Linked DNA regions of Ovis aries. The protein of the gene in region 1 purifies or fractionates together with the protein of each later gene. This does not show direct contact. Links are inferred from orthologs where the notes say so. Each region holds a gene or a part of one and is shown on either strand. Other genes may lie near its edges.

What was found.
Region 2: the proteins of INTS6 (region 1) and INTS11 purify together in Homo sapiens (affinity purification with mass spectrometry; 3 studies listed by BioGRID, with this or other methods). This does not show direct contact. The link is inferred for Ovis aries from reciprocal best matches to the Homo sapiens genes INTS6 and INTS11.
Region 3: the proteins of INTS6 (region 1) and POLR2C purify together in Homo sapiens (affinity purification with mass spectrometry; 3 studies listed by BioGRID and IntAct, with this or other methods). This does not show direct contact. The link is inferred for Ovis aries from reciprocal best matches to the Homo sapiens genes INTS6 and POLR2C.

What each region holds. Positions count from the first base shown.
Region 1 is NC_056063.1:21,145,163-21,148,802, reverse strand, and holds part of INTS6 (integrator complex subunit 6), read left to right. Parts: intron 1-2,291; coding exon 2,292-2,663; intron 2,664-3,640. UniProt on the Homo sapiens protein: Component of the integrator complex, a multiprotein complex that terminates RNA polymerase II (Pol II) transcription in the promoter-proximal region of genes.
Region 2 is NC_056065.1:50,520,785-50,524,929, reverse strand, and holds the start of INTS11 (integrator complex subunit 11), read right to left. Parts: upstream 2,884-4,145; 5' UTR 2,762-2,883; coding exon 2,734-2,761; intron 1,837-2,733; coding exon 1,739-1,836; intron 1,325-1,738; coding exon 1,251-1,324; intron 962-1,250; coding exon 733-961; intron 1-732.
Region 3 is NC_056067.1:25,049,332-25,053,702, forward strand, and holds the start of POLR2C (DNA-directed RNA polymerase II subunit RPB3), read left to right. Parts: upstream 1-1,455; 5' UTR 1,456-1,493; coding exon 1,494-1,579; intron 1,580-1,742; coding exon 1,743-1,792; intron 1,793-4,207; coding exon 4,208-4,276; intron 4,277-4,371. UniProt on the Homo sapiens protein: Core component of RNA polymerase II (Pol II), a DNA-dependent RNA polymerase which synthesizes mRNA precursors and many functional non-coding RNAs using the four ribonucleoside triphosphates as substrates.

The DNA.
Region 1 (3,640 bases):
TTTATGTCTTTTTAATGAACATTTCATATATTCATTCATTATGCTTAATAGCTATCATGATTTGAAATATCATTTGCAAATCTTTAGCGTTTAGAAATGACAGTTTTTAAAGGGGCATTATCAATACCCACAGAAAGATGGTTTTCAATTTGTTTAATTCGGCAACTAATTATTAAATGAGATGCTTAATTTAGACAGGGTTAGGCATTGAGATGTAGCTATAAACAGATAATAGTGATCTCTGCCTTCATTTATAATGAGGGAAGAAAGTCATCACACATTTCCTTAGAAGTGTGATGAATATTACAAAAAGGGAAGTCAAGTATACTTGTTGTGGAAGTATTTGGCAAGAGGATTTAACTTAGTCTGTGGGGTCAAGGACGGAGGAGCCTGGTAGGCTGCAGTCCATGGGGTCGCTAGGAGTCGTACATGACTGAGCGACTTCACTTTCGCTCAGTAAAAAATACTCCACACAGTAATGTCAGCCTGGTTTTCATGAAATGCCAATCAGATCAGATCAGATCACTACCTCTTTCAATGGATTTTCACTGTCCTTAGAATTAAGTCTAGAATTTTTTACGGTGGCTTCTAAGACCCTCTATGATCTAGACTCTGCATGTTTATCTTTTGGTTCTTACCTTACCTCATTCCCAGCAGCCCGCAACTATACCAGAATGCTTCAGTTACCTTAACGCCCTGCTCCTCGCAGTATGTTTCTGAGTATACTCTTCCTATAAGAGTACTATTACTGTAACATAGTAAATGCACAGCTTCAGTTTACTAATTTCTATTTCATCCATCAAGTGTTGGCTTAAACAGAACCTCCTCAGTAAACTGCCTTGTCCCCACTGCTGCTGCTACTGCTGTTAAGTCGCTTCAGTTGTGTCCAACTCTGTGCAACCCCAGAGATGGCAGCCCACCAGGCTCCCCAGTCCCTGGGATTCTCCAGGCAAGAACACTGGAGTGGGTTGTCATTTCCTTCTCCAATGCATGAAAGTGAAAAGTTGGTTCAGTCGCTAAGTCATGTGGAATATTATTGGGGAAGAATGAGAATGGGGTAATTAATTATAGGTGGTGATCATTCATGGGTAAGAACATCTTAACTGGAGAGAAGCCAAATATGATCTCTCCTGATGGGATTCCACAGTACTACATTTGAAGTATCTGCCACCCAAAATACTGAATGAACATCAATCTGATCGAGCCTCTGTAGCTACAGGGAAATAATTAGCAAAATCCAGATTGTGGTAAATTACAGGACAGAGAATCTGGTGTGGATATATTTTTCCAGGAAAAGAAAACAGAAAAAAGAGAGGTACAGAAGGATTTTATAGATGAAAAGAGGAAGAGTTTTCACAAGAGTGCATGGAGAAATGCTCTTGAAGTGGCATTGGAAAGAAAAGGGACTAGTGACTCCACCTCCTTATTTTAAGTCCATGGAGAGAGTTTGAGAGCAAAGGCTTTCTTTGCAGGAGAGTTGGATTTCAATTAAAACAGGAGTTGCTGTTGAGATTATTCATTGAAGTTTGCAAATCATGGAGTAAGATTTAGGATGGAGGAAGGGAGTCAGAAGTTCAGAGAATTTTTGTGGGAGGGAGTTTAAATTTTGAATAGTAAGTCAATGAATTCAGCTGGTTCCTGGTGGTTTGGTGAGCAATCAGGGAACTGAGAATTCAGCTGTTTTCTCTGGGGAGCAAATACAATAATCTGATATTAAGTGGCAAGCTTGCAAGCCTTTTAAGTCTAGTCTAGTGAGCTGAAGTGGAACCAGCTACTCTTCATTGCTCAAGTAGTGAAGACCAAGTGGATGGTTATAAGGAAAGGCGCTCTGGAGGTTTGGGGCCATGTTGCTGCAGAATACTGATTAGGTTAAACTTCCTGTGTTCACTTTTGCCTGTAAATAGTAACTGTATAAGGCAGAGGTAAGTTGGAATGAACTAGTACTCTCAATAAAGGATAACCATGATAATCTTGATCATATGTGTCCCTAAAGCAGTGAAAACCACTTATTCAATAAAATCGCCATAGAAAAAAGCAGAAAACTAAAAGTTTTTTTAAACTGACTTTAATTTTTTTCCCCCAGGCAAAAATTGTACAGATTTTGTAAATACTGTGAATGTTTCACATTGAAATACACAGTATATATGGCAAAGCTTAAGAACCATATCACATTGTTAATTTCCGAGAGTCAAGGAAATCAGTTGTGATTTGCTACAATATTGTTTCTTGGACGTTTTCTTTACTGTGTGCTTTGAAATTGGCTCTCATCTTTCTTTTTTCCTTATTTTTAGTTTCTGAAGCCACTAATGATTCGACAATGGATGATGTGGTTGAAAACCATGTTGCAGACCAACTGTCATCAGATACTACACCAAATGCTATGGAAGCTGAATTTTCAGGATCTTCTCCAGCCAACTTACTGGAACGACCAACCAATCATACAGAGGCTCTTGGTCACGACCACTTAGGAACTAATGACCTCACTGTTGGTGGATTTTTAGAAAATCACGAGGAGCCCAGAGATAAAGAACAGTGTCCTGAAGAGAATATACCAGCATCTTCACTCAACAAAGGAAAGAAATTGATGCATTGCAGAAGCCATGAAGAGGTCAACACTGAACTAAAAGCACAAATAATGAAAGAGATCCGAAAGCCAGGAAGAAGTATGTATAATGAGAGACAGACAGCAGATTTCATTTTTGTATATGCTTTAAGAAAAAAGTCAAATTAACTAAAGCATAGATCTGATTTTAGAACAGTCTTAAGAACAACATATCAGCTGTATAAGATCCCATTCTTTATTCAGCCAACACTTAGCGAGTATCTGCTATATCCAAAGTACTGTGTTAGGTGTGGTAAATAAGGAGGGATGAGAGTAGAATAGGGGAATACACAGATAAAAATTAAACATGGTTCCTCCCATGACAGGAACTGATAGTCTTGAACATTCTACCAACCAGCAACTGGAAGTTTAAGGTAACAGAAAAAACCCCCAAAGATGCAGTGAATATTAAATGACTTACATTTGTAAAGTTCTTGGCACAGTACCTACCCACCATCTTAACTTTTGAGATTTAAACTGTAGTAGTGACAGGGATGCGTTTAGGCCGAAAAATGAAAATTATGAAGCTGTCTGTTACATGAGTAGAGAAGAACTTCGTGAGATAAAGTTTCAATATTCTTATTGATATACATTCAGAAGATTTGGACAGATCACCTGCTATGATGGTGCCCATGGGTGGTCCAGAAGTGGGTAAGACTCAGTACTGGTCATTTTAGGAGCTTATAGTCCTTGACAGAGGACTATTAAGTTTTATGTGAAAACTTGAAATTGAGACAGCACTCTTTTTTTCCTCTATTTTATCCACCCCCTATGTTAGCTGTAACTTAGAGTTTGTTATAAGGTTGAATTTTTGTAAAGGCCACTTCTTATTTTTCAGTGGCACTACCACTGTTTACTCATTCTTCTAAGCTGTATGTTTTGATACATACGTGAGTTCCCTAATGAGAACTTCTACCAAGAAAAGGCAGTGTTTGACAAGTTATTTTATCTTTGTTGATATCTGATAAAATGTATGTATTATAAAATCTCTAATGAATGGTGAAATTTTTAGGTAAACTATTTTTGGTTTTGTCTTAA
Region 2 (4,145 bases), on another chromosome or scaffold:
CCTCTCCTATAGGATAGGCCATCAGGTTGTATTAAAGCCAAGCCGTGGAAAAGAGTCACATTTAAAATATGATGCAGAGGGACTTCCCTAGTGGTCCAGTGGTTAAGACTCTGCACTTCCACTGCAAGGGCAGCAGGTTTGATCCTTGGTCAAGAAACTAAGATACCACATGCTACACAGTGCAGCCAAAAAACAAAAATAAAACACGCTGCAGAAAGGATAAAAGTACTAAGAAGGGCAAGGATTCAAGGTGTGGGAGGGGCGAACTTTCGCCAGAAAGGCAGACTCGAAGATAAAGCATTACTGAGGATACAACTCAATGAATGATTCAACTCAACAAAGGGTTCAATCTGAAAAATAAGATGACCCCAAATGTCAGACTCATGAAAAAAAGCAAAACCTAGACTCTTGAGAAGAAACAGACAAATCCATGATCCTTGTGATAAATTTTACATTTGATGTCACTCGCCTGCCTCAAGTCTTACCCCTCCACCCTGAGTCAGTCCACTGCAATGAGCCCACACTCTGGTCTCTGACCTGCCCGGCCTGCTCCCGTGTACTCAGATGGCACACTGGCCCTCTTTGGCATCTTCCACACACTCAGGCAGAGCCAGGGAGTGGCAGGAGCCCTGCTCAGTACTGGATCTGAGCTGGGCCCCACGCTCACCTTCTGCCTCCAAGGGTCCCTGGGATGGCAGCAGAGTGAGTTGGGGGCGGGGGTGGGGAGCTGACCTGCACCGTCTGGTGGAGGTGGACAGCCACCACTTTCTTCATGCAGTCCTTGATCATCTGGGACGTGAAGAAGTTGGCCTCGCCCTTCTTGTCCACGGCGATCTTGCGGTAGTCCTCCAGCAGGATGGGGCAGATGGCCTGGGTGGGCTGGGTCATGTAGATGGGCCCATCGTAGCCCACCATCTCACTGAAGTAGGGGAGTGCCCCGCAGTGGTCCAGGTGGAAGTGGCTGCAGGCGCAGCACCAGTCAGCTGGATGCCCCCCAACCCTCCACCCAGCAACCCTACCCCCATTCCTCTGCTCACTGAGGGCCTGCTATGTGTCAGACATGGCCCTGAACATGGGAGAGGGAGAGGGCAAAAGGGACTCAGGCCCAAGTGTCTAGCGATGCCACCAGCAGGCAGTTACTATGGGGTCAGCTTCACATTCCAGGAAGGAACAGGAAGGGGCTCAGGGCAACAAGAACCAGTATGCCACTTGGGTGGGTGGCTGGGTCTGTGGGTGGGGAAGGCGCCCACCTGATGATCACACAGTCCAGAAAGTCGGTCAGTCGGCCACTGCGGGTGATGTAGGAAAAGTCGGGGAAGCGCCTCTGTGGGGGGAGAAGCAAAAGTGTCAGGATGCCGCCTGCCCAGGGCTCAGGTGACTGTGGGGCAGCCAGGGCTGTGGGGATGGCCCCTGGGTCAGGATGCAGTTGAGCCTGACACCCACACCCTGCAGGCCCACTGAGGCCACCGACTGCTCAGAACCCCTGAGCATGTAGGGCAGAAGTCAGGCTGCTGAGCCAGTACCTGAGAGCTGAGACCCCACAGCCGTGCCCTGGCTCCAGTACAGTCTGACCCAAGTGCTCCACTTGTTGGGTGACGGTGGGGGCTGCCCTCCTACCAGTGCCCACTTGCCCCCGTTCCTCCTCCATAGTCAAAGCCTGCGACTCCGAGGCCCAGGTCCCTCGGTGATGACGCCGAGGTGCAGGCTGGATGCCAGGCCGCCCACCCTTGAGACTCACATCGTCGCTGAAGCCCATGTGCATCCCGCAGTCCAGCATGACGTTCTTGCCCGCAATGGACACCAAAATGCAGCTTCGGCCCACATCCTGGCCAGCCCCTGTATGGGAGGACCAGTCGGAGGGACAGCCATGCCCCCCTCTCTCCCACTGCCCAGTGAGGATTTGGGGTAAAAGAAGCAGTAAAAAGACAGGACTGTTCAAGGGTGCGCGGTGAGAAAGATGTCATAGGGGAAAAAGGCTGGCAAAAGTGAGTGGTGAGAAAGATGCCACAGTGGGAAACAGGCTGGAAGAACCCTGCAGAGGCCCCTGGAGAGGAACCAGGTGTGAGGAGAGCATGGAGCTGAAGCAACCAGAGGGGAACCGGAGTCAACAGGTAGGAGAGGTGTGAGGACACCTATGGCGGGGCGGGATGCGTGCTGTGCCCTGGACGGCCAGGGGAAGACCACTGCAGCGGGAGGCTGGGTGGGCTATTCTGAGAATGCACCATAGAAGAGAGCATGTAGAGCTGCGGGGAACAACCCTGCTAGAAGACGCTGCGGATATATGGCCGTGGCAGGGGGGCAGGTTTCCGGAAAGCCCCTGGCACCTGTGCACAGAGACCCCGGCTGTTCCCATTCTGAGTGACCTGCTGTACCTCCTTCGCACTGCTGTACTGTTTTTAAACTATGCACTTATATCTTCCGCAAAGGGCAAGCTGGGGGCGGGAGAGACGTTGGTTTTTGTTTTTAACGCTGCGCCGGTCAAGCAAAAGAAAGTCTGACTGACGTGGGGTGAACGGCCCACGGGTAAACGGAGGCTGCAGGGAAGCGGGGCTCGAGACATATGGAACAGGTGGAAGGCAGCGAGTGCGCGAACGCAGAGGCAGGAGGAAGGTGCACTAAGCACTGGTGCTGGGCGGGGGGCCGCGCGGCGAGGAAGACGCGTCCCGGGGTCCCCGGACCTCCGAGCCCCCTACCAGCCTTCCTCGGGCGCTCCTTGCGCCGCCCAGCACTCACCCAGGGGCGTGACCCTGATCTCGGGCATCCTGCTGGGCAAGCCAAGCGAGCGGGCAGGATCAGCCCGGTCCCACGAGACCCCGGGGCCCGCGACCCGGTCCCGGCCACGCGCGCCTGACTCGCGGCTATGCACGGCGCAGGCGCATTCCCAACGGCCCCAACTTCCGGCGTGCCGGACGGAAACGCTGGCCCGCGCAACGTGCTTTCTGATTGGGCGGCCAGCAGCCAGTCCCGGGCGACGGGGCGGTAGGGCTGTGGCCGACGCCCGGGCAGCCCGCCCCGTGGCTGCTGTGGCGGCACAGGTGAGCAGCGGAGGCGCAGGTGAGTGGGGCGCGACGGGCTCAAGGCGGCGCGGGGAATCCCAGCCCAACCGAGCTGGGCCTGGGCCTTGCCGAGGGGTCGGAGCGGGAGCCCCCAGGCGTGGGAGGAGGCGGCCGAGGACCCGGCTCCAGCGCTGGCCCGGACCCCGAGCCCCTGTCCCCTCCCTAGGGACTTAGCTGGAGCAGGACCCGCGCAGGACAGGGGCCCCACCCTACCCGAGTCCTGGGTCCCAGCCTGGCGCCACCTGGAGCCCCCTTCTCAGGCGAGATTTCCGGGATTTCCCCGCTCCCACCCGCTGGGCCTGGGGTGCCGGAGGGCAGCCCTCTTTTCCTAGGGACCTTCAGCTTGCCGTCAGTTTCAGGATGAGCCCTGACCTTGGGGCCATGGGCTGCCCTTGGGGGAGCCTTGGCGATTCCCTGCATCACCTCCCCGGAGCTGGCAGCCTGCCCGACCCCGCTGCGCCGCCACTGCCCTTCCTGTTGTTTCCAAGCTCTGAAAGGCTGCTGGCACCTCCCGTTGACTGCTGGCTCAGGTTCCAGGCAGGAAGGCCAGGCCCATAGGATGGCTGGTGACCAGGAAGGTAGCCCTGAGGGCCTCAAAGGCCATCTGTCTGGTGGACAGGACACTGAGGCCCTGAGAGAGGGGAGGAGTATGCTGGAAGCCTCCCATTGTCTTCTTCCTGAGGCCAGGCACTGCTGTCCCCCACACCTGAAGATGGAGTGAGCTCACCACCGGGCCCTCCACCTAGTGCCAGGCATGTGGCAAAGGCAGAGGGCCTGCAGGGCCTCAGCACCCACTGGGCCCCATCAGAGGCTCCCAGCAACCTGGGTGATGGGCAGGGCAGGGTGTGCTGGCCCATTTTCCCTAAAGCTGTGGGACAAGATCTTAGGTCAGTGCATGACTTGCCCATGGTATGGAAGGGACCCACATGTGCTCTCTTGGCTGGGCTCTCACCACAGCTCAAATGGCCTCCTCTCATGCAGGCTCTTACAAGCCTTCCAGCATTGAGGGCCCAGGAACCCCTGTGCCCAAAGGGTGAGAGCTTGTCCTGGACAATGAGATGAGACACAGCCTAGTCCCCAGGGCCCATC
Region 3 (4,371 bases), on another chromosome or scaffold:
CCTGCATTCTCGCACAACAGAGAGAGCATGCCAGTGTGCTCTGCGCTCTTCCTGGTTTTGTTAGAGCACTAATCTCCTGAGAGTTCTATCCTCAGGGCCTCGTAAAGACCCCCTTTCCAAGTATCCTCACGTGAGAAGTTGGGGCTTCACCATTTTGGTGCATGCAGCATCCAACAGCCATCTGTCTTCTGCGCTGCGGTCTCCTACCTGAGTGGACTGAATGACGATGGGAGTAACGGCTAGTGGGAATTTCCTGTCTCACGCACGTTCCTCTGGGCCCTTTCTGCACCTGATTCTTTTATCTTGACATCCTGTCAAGTTGCCTGCAGTAGCTATCATATTTTGTTCCATTCCCTCTTTTATCCTATATAGCATCCATCTCACACTCAACAGACAACCTTCTTAATTTACTGAGATGATACAGGCTTTAGTGCAAGGGCCCCCTTAATGCTCTTCTCTGTCTCAGATGTCACTCCTTGCTAAAGCAAACGCCTCTGTCCCCTCTGATGATTCTTTCTCTGCCCCCTACATGTTGTTCCCTGCCAAGTTCTATTTTAGGACTTCTCTGTATAATCTGCTGCCACCTGGGAATTCCCTGGCAGTCCAATGATTAGGACTTTACTTCATTTCAGGGGACATGGATGTGGCACAACCAAAAGCAAAAAAAAGACCCATCAGACCTCTTTGCAGGCTGTTTAAGACACTGCCTACTATGCACCTACATGTGCCCTTCCCATAGAATTTAAATTATCTGTAGGTTTCTTATAGTACCTAACACAATGTTTAATGCTATGGTAAATAGTTGTAAATGCTATATAAATAGTGCAGCAAATTTGTTTTATTTTTGGAACTTTATGGAATTTTATCTTCAATTGGTTGGATTCAAAAACCCTTGCATATGGAGGACCAACTGTACTTTTCTTCTTCCATAAATTTACACACTTCATTCTTTTAAAAAACGTTACAGTATTCCTGTGTTTGTATATTTAACCAGGTCTCTGTCAATGGGCATCTTTTATTTATCTTTTGCCAGAAACTGCTGCAGTGAACTGGAGAAGGAAATGGCAACCCACTCCAGTGTTCTTGCCTGAGAATCCCAGGGGCGGCGGAGCCTGGTGGGCTGCCTAGTCTATGGGGTCGCACAGAGTCGGACACGGCTGAAGCGACTTAGCAGCAGCAGCAGCTGCAGTGAACGTCCCTGTACATGTTTGCTTACACCTGCAAATGTTTCTGCAGTATGGATTCTTAGAAGTGTTACTGTGGAATCAAGGGCGTGTGCATGCTTTGCCAAATCGCCCTCTGAATGGTTGAACGTGGTGCCTCTTCAAGAAGGTGGGAGGGGTGGGTGGAAAACTTCAGGCCTCCGAGCAGCAGGCGGCGCTGTGAGCGCCCGTCCGCGCCAGTGGCGAGGCCCCGCTGACGGACTTCCGCTGGAGGAGTTGGCGCAGGCCCGGCAGAGCTGACAACAGAGGTCGAGCGAGCGGTGGGGCGCGATGCCGTACGCCAACCAGCCCACAGTGCGGATCACGGAGCTCACCGACGAGAATGTCAAGTTCATCATCGAGAACACGGACCTGGCGTAAGACTGCTGGGGGAGAGGTTGGCGGTTCTGGAGAGCCGGGGTCCCAGCCTGCGGGACGTCGTGTCTTTTCAAAACTGGCTTCCGCTTTGGGCGCGGTGGGGCGCGAGCCCGGCCTGTCGAGGTTGCGGTGCCCACACGCCGCTTGGTTTTCATTCCTCAGGGTGGCAAATTCTATCCGGAGGGTCTTCATCGCTGAGGTGCCCATAATAGGTAAGCGACCCCAGTCTCGTTGCCAGGGCTACCAGGCCTCTCTCCCCCCACCCCACTCCTCCCCTTGCCTTGCAGCTCCTGCCCCCAGCCTTGGTTTGGGCGAGGGATTGGGGGCGCTAAGAGGACAGTCGTGCTGGAGACTTGATCGGGCCCTTTGCCCTTGGCCCAGGCCCACTCTGGCCACCTCTCTGGCTCCCACGGGCTATTTAGTTCCATTCTTTTCCGTGCGTTGGTGACGCTCATGGGCTCAGGAGTCTGTGGACTGGGACTCAAACTGTTTTCACTTACTATCGCTGCGAAACTTGGGCAAGCTATTAAACTCTGTTGCAGTCCCCTCTCTAATGTTCGGACGCTAATAGCAGTTGTCAGGGCGACGTTAACGATTAAGGGGAATAATCTCTGTGCCTTGTGTTCAGTGAGTCTCCATTGCCCGGTAATGTGAATCTGTTCCGTCAGCTGCATCTCGGGAGCATATAAGCTCCAGGCAGTGGTGCTAGGCACTGGAAACGCAGAGCTGTGAAGTACAGGGTTCTCTAGGAGTTCATCTTCAGTTGCTCAGTTGTGTTCGACTCTTTGCGACCCCATTGGCTGTAGGCTCCTCTGTCCATGGGATTCTCCAGGCAAGAATACTGGAGTGGGCAGCCATTTCCTTCTCTAGGGGATCTTCCCAATCCAGGGATCAGACCCGCTTCTCCTGCATTTGCAGGCAGATTCTTCTAGGGTTTAAGGAGAACCGTAGCTGCAGTGGGTTTGACGCTTCAAGGAGAAAGGATCTGTTTCTGCTTTTGTTCCAGCCACTCTTCACTGGGTGTTCTGCCTGTCTACAGATATACTACAAATATTTTCCGAGTGTTAACTCTGAGTTTGGTTTAGGAAAAAGAGATGTAAGCCATAGTTACCGCATCAAGTGTGCAAATTCCTAAGGAGATGAACGGGCCAGTTGGTTGGTAAGCAGAGGACATTGTAGTTTTTCCACCATTACCACCCCCCGGAGACTTTTTCAACTCAGAGCTTGGAGTGCTGGTTCTCCTTCTCTGCCTAATCACCCCGTGGGGTCTCAGGACCTTAGTTTCATCATGAGTAAAGTGAGGCAGTTGTGCTTTAGGGTGCAGCCCTGACATTCAAGCGCCACTTTTCCCATGTAGCATGAAGCACCTCTTGCAATCCAGACCCCAGCTAGGAATACAGAAATTAAGACATCTGAAGACCCAAAGAAATTTTGAAGCTTGAGGTGGAAGCAAGATGCACACAGATATAACGCAATTTGACAAGTGTCTTAAGAGAAGTGTGGACAGAGTTCCAGGAGAGAGTAGCTTCCTCCCGGGAGAGAGTATTCATCTCTGTATCACAGAGGGTGGGCAAGGCCTGGTTTATAGGAAGCTCACAGGATTTTAAATCCTGCACAGGAGAGGTTAAAGGCACGCCAGTGGGAGGAAAGGCAGAGACAGAAAAGCTTGGCTCTTAGTCCTTGCTTGGCTCAGGTTTAGGAAGCAGAAGGACAAGCAGGTGGGGGTCTGGTCGTGTCTGGTCCTCTGTTCCTAGTGTCTGTGCCCCTCATTGAACAGTTGGTCTCACTGCCTTTTGACTTCTGAATTTAATTGTTTATGTACACATATTTATGAATGAATGAGTAAATGTGTTTAAATCAACTATGTGTGACACTGCAGTTCTCCTCCTCGCTCATGGCTGGTAGGGATTAGTATGCCCTACCCATTAAAGGAATTGGGTAAACATGATTTGGTTGAATGATAATAAAGTATTAATTTGGGTAATCTAGTCATTATATCACAAAAGGAGATGTGGGCCATAAGTCTATGTTACTTCTCTGAGGTTTGTCCAACTTTCAAGTGCCCAAATAGCTTGTGTTCTTACTGGTGTTGGCATGAGTAGCAGATTTAAGTGCTTCCCACAGAAATACTCCGCTCTGAGAAACACGCTCCCATTCTCGTGGTATCTTTAGGTCAGTGTTTTTGGGGTAATACAGGGAACTGTCTGCATCATAACTGCCTGAGCAGGGAAGTGCGGTGCAGTGTGTGTGGTTCTTATTAAAATGCAGCTTCTGGGCCCCACTCCAGAGCTGTGGAATCAGTCTCTGGCAGCCTGACTCGGCCTCTGCAATTTAGTAAGCACTAGATGATTTGGAGGGGCTCAGATGCTAAAGAATCTGCCTCAGTGCAGGAAGCCCCTAGGGTTCAATCCCTGGATCGGGAAGATTCTCTGAGAAGAGCATGGTAATCCACTCCAGAATTCTTGCCTGGAGAATCCCATGGACAGAGGAGCCTGGCAGGCTGCAGTGCATGGGATTGCAAAGAGTCAGACATGACTGAGCAACAAACACTTTCAGATGATTTTTAAATCTGGAAAATTTGGTGGCTAATCTGCCTGTCTGCTTTTTCTGCTTCCTTCATTCTTTAGCAATTGACTGGGTTCAGATTGATGCCAATTCCTCCGTCCTTCATGACGAGTTCATTGCTCACAGACTTGGTGAGTGCTGGGTTTGGAGAGTTACAGGGAGGGGGCTGTGCCAGTGTCAGAGGAAGAAGCATCCTCACCCCCAAGGGGACTTCTGGACTCTCCTT